Saccharomyces cerevisiae S288C: one gene and its partner. The protein of the gene in region 1 purifies or fractionates together with the protein of each later gene. This does not show direct contact. Each region holds a gene or a part of one and is shown in the gene's direction. Other genes may lie near its edges.

Region 1 (2,994 bases):
GAAAAAAATGTCGGACCTTCATACCATTCGGGAACATAATTTATAGAGTCAAATTCTGACTTATACTTAGATTTTGTGATGTTTTCAGTTTTATTCAAATTCGAACCTAATAAACCCGAACACGGGATAAATTGGAATTCTGCGTCTGTCCACTGAAAGTTTTCCTTCAACACATAATTTAGCTCAGACTGAATCATTTCTAGTCGGTGCTTATCCCAACTAATTAGATCTGCCTTATTCAAAAGAATTATCAAGTGCTTTTTGCATGCGGAATTCTTGTTCAAATAAGAGATCACTTTTAAAATTTCATAAATCTGATTATTTGGACCATCTAATGATTTTTCCCACGAGTCATAATTGCAATCAATAACCAATACATAAACTTCAGGATCAAAGGTCAAAATTGAGTTCAGAGTTTCTTTATTGAAGTATTTGATACTACCAGGAGTGTCTATAAGCGTCAAGGTTGATGATGGCGGTAGTAAATCATTTTCTACCTGAATAACTTTCTTAAACATGGAAAATCCATTTTCTCTTTCTGTTTTGGTATTGTCTAGAATGACCTTAAAACTATTTGAAGATGAAGGATCCAAATTACTGCTTTTTTTTTGTAGTTCCCTCATTGATGACATAGAAATTTCGTTTAGATCATATAAAAGATGACCAAGCAAAGTGGATTTGCCTGCGTTTGTATCACCGAGGAACAAACATGTCAAATTCAGAGGATGGGTGGCAATGAATGAATGAATATCAATCGACTCAGTAGGTGGTGTTTGAAGGTTAATTGGTTCCTTTTTTTCGGCCTTGGGCACAGATTTGATATTTAAGTTTTCTAATTTTTCATTGAAAGCATTAAGTTGGGCCGATTGTATTATATCATCAGGACTTGGTCTATTGAAATTCTCAATGGCTACTTTACGAGTTGTTTTCGGCAGGTTACAAGGCACAAAAATACCAAGGAGCTCATTGTTATGCTTTTTTAAGGACAGAAATGATGAATTCTGCGACGATAGCGGTATTGATGTACTCAACGAGTTTTTTTTATCTTTTATGATAAAGTTTGTGAACGCAAAATCGTCGGTTTGATTTATGCATGGATCGTTTTTCAAGAAACAGTAATGGTTCATTTCTTTAATAGCCTTCCATGACTCTTCTAAGTTGAGTTTATCATCAGGCGATTTCCTTTTGGTAGGGAGTTCGTTTTCTTTGCTGTCTAATGTCACTGATTTTCCTTGTTTCTCCAAATCACTATTTGACTTCTTTAAGGCAGACAACTTTAAACTCAATGAAACACTATGCTGGTTCGGGGTAAAGTCGCTTCTTTTTACCTTGTCTTTTGCAAGTAGCGTCTTCAGATCCTTCCTTTTTGTCTCAGCATTGTTATCTTTAGTTTCTCTATTCTTATGTAGTCTTTCTAGTAAGGATGCACTTTTCGATGTACTATGAGACTGGTCCGCACTTAAAAGGCCTTTAGATTTTTCTATTCTTTTTCTTGCTAATTGCTCTAATAACGACATGTCAGGTGGTACTGTAAGTTTCGAAGACCACCTCCTCGTACGTGTATTGTAGAAGGGTCTCTAGGTTTATACCTCCAATCTGTTATAGTACATATTATAGTACACCAATGTAAATCTGGTCCGGGTTACACAACACTTTGTCCTGTACTTTGAAAACTGGAAAAACTCCGCTAGTTGAAATTAATATCAAATGGAAAAGTCAGTATCATCATTCTTTTCTTGACAAGTCCTAAAAAGAGCGAAAACACAGGGTTGTTTGATTGTAGAAAATCACAGCGATGGCAGATTATGATAGTGCGAAATATTGGTCCAAGCAGGGAGCTCGTCGTGGGTTACAGAAAACCCGTTACTACTGCCAAATATGCCAAAGGCAATGTAAAGATGCAAACGGATTTCAATCACATAACAAATCGCCATCTCATTTAAGGAAGATTAGTCAAGTGACAGCTGAGGACGCTAGGCGCTACAATATCCAGTTTGAAAAGGGATTTCTACAGTTATTGAAGCAGCGGCACGGAGAAAAATGGATTGATGCTAACAAAGTATACAACGAGTATGTTCAAGATCGCGATCATGTACATATGAATGCCACCATGCATCGTTCTTTGACGCAGTTTGTCCGGTACCTAGGCCGCGCGGGCAAGGTAGACGTGGATATGGATATTGATGATACATCTGAGAACGTTGAAGGTCCTTTGCTTATCAGGATCCATCCCTCATCTTTATCATCACCTTCTGAAGATGGAATGCTGCGAAGTCAACAAGAGGAGCAAGAAGTCATAGCCGCCGAGCTTTTGAAAAGACAACTCAATCGTGCTAAGCGACAAACTGAAAAGGTATATCAACCAGAGATGAAATCGGAAATTAGCGGGGATAGCACTCTGAAACGTGTTCAAGTCACCTTCCACGGGAATGGTCGGGTAAATAAAAAGAAAAAGAAGGTTCCTCCACGGAAAGATGGTATCAAGTTCCGTTGATTGAAAATTTTTCTTTTCAAGCGATGAGGTTAGCGAAGTTGTTCGAACAAGCCCAAATATGTTTAGAAGGCAGTACGAATTGATACCCTGAACTGTTACTACCCGTATACACGTATTAAGTAAGACAATGAGTAATGGACACGTCAAGTTTGATGCCGATGAAAGTCAAGCCAGCGCAAGTGCTGTCACGGATAGACAAGATGATGTGCTGGTAATATCAAAAAAGGACAAGGAAGTGCATTCAAGTAGTGATGAGGAAAGTGATGATGATGATGCTCCACAAGAAGAAGGGCTTCACTCTGGGAAAAGTGAGGTAGAATCACAGATCACTCAGAGGGAGGAGGCTATAAGGCTGGAACAATCACAATTGCGGTCCAAGAGAAGGAAGCAAAATGAATTATACGCCAAGCAAAAGAAATCAGTGAATGAGACAGAGGTCACTGATGAAGTAATTGCGGAGCTTCCTGAGGAATTGCTAAAAAATATAGATCAGAAGGACG
Region 2 (3,958 bases), on another chromosome or scaffold:
GCATATCGACCACACAGAGTCCAAATACTTGGGCCTCCATAGGCCCTTCGGTATATAATTTTTCAAGGGATGGCTCGAACCATTGGCACGAGAGTGGTCTGGTGTATTCGTTTCTGTATTGGTTGTTTCAAAAATTTGGAAAATATGCAATGTTTGCTTATTTGACAATACGGCCAACTTACTACCATTGGGGCTGAAACTCATCTCGTAAATATCCGCCTTGTCCACCCCTCTTCTAAATTCTTTGATTAAAGTACCGTTATGCGTACTGAAGATTCTTATAAGTGTACCCTGGACGGAACATGTTGCTACCATGGTGCCTTGACGGTTCAGTCTAACCAGTTTGATGGGATTTTTATGTGCTTTAATGATGGAAGTGGGCAAAAGCGCTGATTCCTTCGGGTTTTGTGAATTATATTTTATTTGTGATAGGTCGGCTACTTGAATTTGGCCTACGCATTTATTCGATGGGAATGCAATGATTTCTAAGATTTTAGACTGTGACTGCGATGCTTGCGACTGGAGATGTTTGCTGCTACAAACGACATAGTCCACTGATCCATTGGGAGGGATATCCAAAATAGGACAAATTCTTTGAGGATTGGTTTGAAATTGGAAGATCTCTATTGTGTTCTCCAGGACTACCACAATATGAATCCTAGATAAAAACACGTCTTTAATGGAAGACATAAACTTCAAAGTAATCGTTTCCTTTTGCAAAAGATCATCCCAGATGATCAGTTTATTTAGAGCATGCCTTGGTCGTTTACCACCTCCGACTAGTGCGATGTAATTCGTACGATAAAGCATCCTGGTATAGCCAATCCCAGTGCCCCTGGATTGGTTGGTCGCAGACTCTTTAAATGTTTTCGATAGCTTACTAGTCAATGGATCTGTATTGAAAATACGAAATCCATTCTCTAACGCCACGCTGAAACACGAATCATCTTGGTTAAACGAAACGCTCAAAAATTTTGGTTTCCTCCTGTTGTTGACTGCCTCCCTTATAGGTCGACGAACATCCATCTGCTAGTTATGTATGCTTATAGTTGTCCTCTAATAATCGCTGCCTTTCCAGATCTTCTGGTTTCTCTTCCCTTTAACAATAGCCCCCGCAGTACGTATTACTAAGGTAAATAAATATAACCGGCTTTACAAGCCAGAAAGCCGTGATCACGTGATTATCAATTTCTTTATTTCATTTCGCTCAGATACTGCCAAAAGCCCCTGATCTTGAACACAAAGGTAAACAACGTTAATATGAACCTGGCTATCATCATTAGGATAGGCTCATTTTCTCTTTTTAACTCAGGCCCCTTTCTTGCACTGTTACCATAGGATCTTACCAATTTGCATTATTTCCGCCAACTAGCGGATATCCGCTGTATTTCCGCGCTTCTATATGCTATGGCTGGAAATACAATAAAAAGTGTCAAGCAGAACCACTACATTAATTTAAAGAAAAATGTCTTATATCAAAGAATCGGCACTGTATCAATTGATTATATATAATGCTAGAGTTTCCGTACCCTCTTGCAACGTCCTTTAAATCTTGTATCTTTTCTTCTACAATTGTAGTAACACCACGTCTACATTAGTATCTAAATTGCAGCCCAATGAAAGGCGAACCTAAGACTTACAGCATGAGCGACCTCTCATACTACGGTGAGAAAGCACAACAACAGAACGAGAAACAGCAAAAACAATATGTTGTGAGACGAAATTCTACGCAGTCAACATCAAAACAAAACGTGAGCGTGGTGCTCGAGGACAACGCCAGCGAAAGTAATGAACTACCTAAAGGGTTTATCTTGTACGCATCTTTGATAGCATTGGCTTTGTCGCTGTTTCTGGCAGCCTTGGATATCATGATAGTTTCTACAATCATTGAAGAAGTAGCTAAACAGTTTGGATCGTACTCTGAGATCGGGTGGTTATTTACCGGGTATAGCTTACCAAACGCTCTGTTGGCGTTGATATGGGGAAGAATTGCCACACCTATCGGATTCAAGGAGACCATGCTATTTGCTATTGTCATTTTTGAAATCGGGTCGCTGATCTCTGCTTTAGCAAATTCAATGAGTATGCTCATTGGTGGTAGAGTTATTGCTGGAGTCGGCGGTTGTGGTATTCAAAGTTTATCGTTCGTCATTGGTTCAACCCTGGTAGAGGAGTCGCAGAGAGGCATACTAATTGCTGTTTTGAGTTGTTCGTTTGCTATTGCATCTGTTGTTGGGCCTTTCCTTGGAGGAGTTTTCACCTCCAGCGTCACATGGAGATGGTGCTTCTATGTTAATTTACCGATCGGTGGCCTAGCATTTTTCTTATTCCTGTTCTTTTATAACCCAGGTTTAAGTACATTTCAAGAGACAATGGATAACATCCGCAAATTTCCATCACAGTTTATCGAAATTGTTCGGAATGTAGCATATCATTTATTGAAAATCAAAGGGTTTAGCAAACTTAATGGGTGGAGAAAGCCGTTCATGGAATTGATTTTCATGTATGATATTATCGAGTTTGTGTTTTGTTCAGCTGGATTCACATGTATTCTATTGGCTTTCACATTTGGCGGTAACCGGTATGCTTGGAACTCTGCATCCATCATTATTCTTTTCATCATCGGTATAGTCCTGGTAGTGTTAGCAGGTATCTATGATTTCCTTGTCTTCCCCAAATTTAATATAGTGAAAGCAACACCACATTACCAACCATTAATGTCATGGACAAATATCAAGAAACCAGGTATTTTCACGGTTAATATAGCCTTGTTTCTCACTTGTGCAGGATATATCAGTCAGTTTACGTATATTGTGCAATACTTCCAATTAATTTACAATGATTCCGCCTGGAGAGCCGCTGTACACCTGGTTGCTTGCATTATTTCTACAGTCGTTACAGCAATACTTTGCGGTGCTATCACCGACAAAACCCGCCAAATCAAACCGATTATTGTTATTTCAAGCATTTTTGGTGTTGTTGGTGCGGGTATATTAACCCTATTGAACAATAATGCCAATAACTCTGCTCACATCGGCCTTTTGATATTACCTGGCGTTGCTTTCGGTGGTTTGGCACAAAGTTCCATGCTCGCTTCTCAAATTCAGTTAGACAAGAAGAGCCCAACTTTTCGATCAGATTTTGTCTCTATTACCACTTTTAACACATTTTGCAAAAATCTAGGTCAAGCACTGGGAGGTGTCATCTCTAACACTGTTTTCAGTGCTGCTGCTATCAAGAAATTAACCAAGGCTAATATTCAGCTCCCAGATGGTACCACGGTAGACAATCTGGTAATCTATAGGCAGACCAATTTCGATGGCTCTCATTCCAAATTGGGCAATATAATTTCTGAATCTCTCACTGACGTCTTTTACATGGCATTAGGATTTTATGCATTATCTCTCATTTTTGCTGTTTTTGCTTCAAATAAGAAAGTCACAGCAAGCCTGAGATAAGTTAAGCACGATTTAGAAGGTGGCGAGCCTCAAAGTGTAAAGCTGCAGAAAAAATAAACATGACTTTTAGTAATTGGCTGTTTAGCTTGCTGAATTGTGTACCACAACTAACGATAACAGTAAGAGGGTAATCCGAGACAGTATGAGTACAGCTATTAAATAGTTAATTTAGATTTTTATACTGGTATGATAAACGACGTTCATATAGCAAGAGCGTCAATGCCTCTATGTCACCTTCAATAGAAGTTTCCCTTTTTATTTCGACTTTTGTTTTTGTATTTTTCGGCGTCTGCCTTGTTCCATTTTTAAGGCGCCAAAAATAAAATAAAATGATGAACGATTAGTACTCAAAGAACACTTTAATCCTTGGAAACAAAAAAATAAAAAATCAAAAGTTGAAGGAAGGTCAAATTTTCTTCCTCCAACGATAATAATACTTGCTTATATAACTCTTTTAAAGTTTTACAAAACTTTGGATCAGAAAAAAAGAAAAAAATATG

The links.
Region 2: the proteins of RTS2 (region 1) and AZR1 purify together in Saccharomyces cerevisiae (affinity purification with mass spectrometry, with the first as the bait; one large-scale study listed by BioGRID). This does not show direct contact.

Annotation. Positions count from the first base shown.
Region 1 is NC_001147.6:470,104-473,097, forward strand, and holds RTS2 (Rts2p), read left to right. Parts: upstream 1-1,795; coding exon 1,796-2,494; downstream 2,495-2,994. Other genes in the region: SKI7 (Ski7p), read right to left, coding at 1-1,517; BUD21 (Bud21p), read left to right, coding at 2,622-2,994.
Region 2 is NC_001139.9:941,190-945,147, forward strand, and holds AZR1 (azole transporter), read left to right. Parts: upstream 1-1,616; coding exon 1,617-3,458; downstream 3,459-3,958. Other genes in the region: phosphatidylinositol-3,5-bisphosphate binding protein HSV2, read right to left, coding at 1-1,026; AMA1 (Ama1p), read left to right, coding at 3,956-3,958. UniProt on the Saccharomyces cerevisiae protein: Transporter protein required for adaptation to high stress imposed by low-chain organic acids, in particular by acetic acid, and for resistance to azoles, especially to ketoconazole and fluconazole.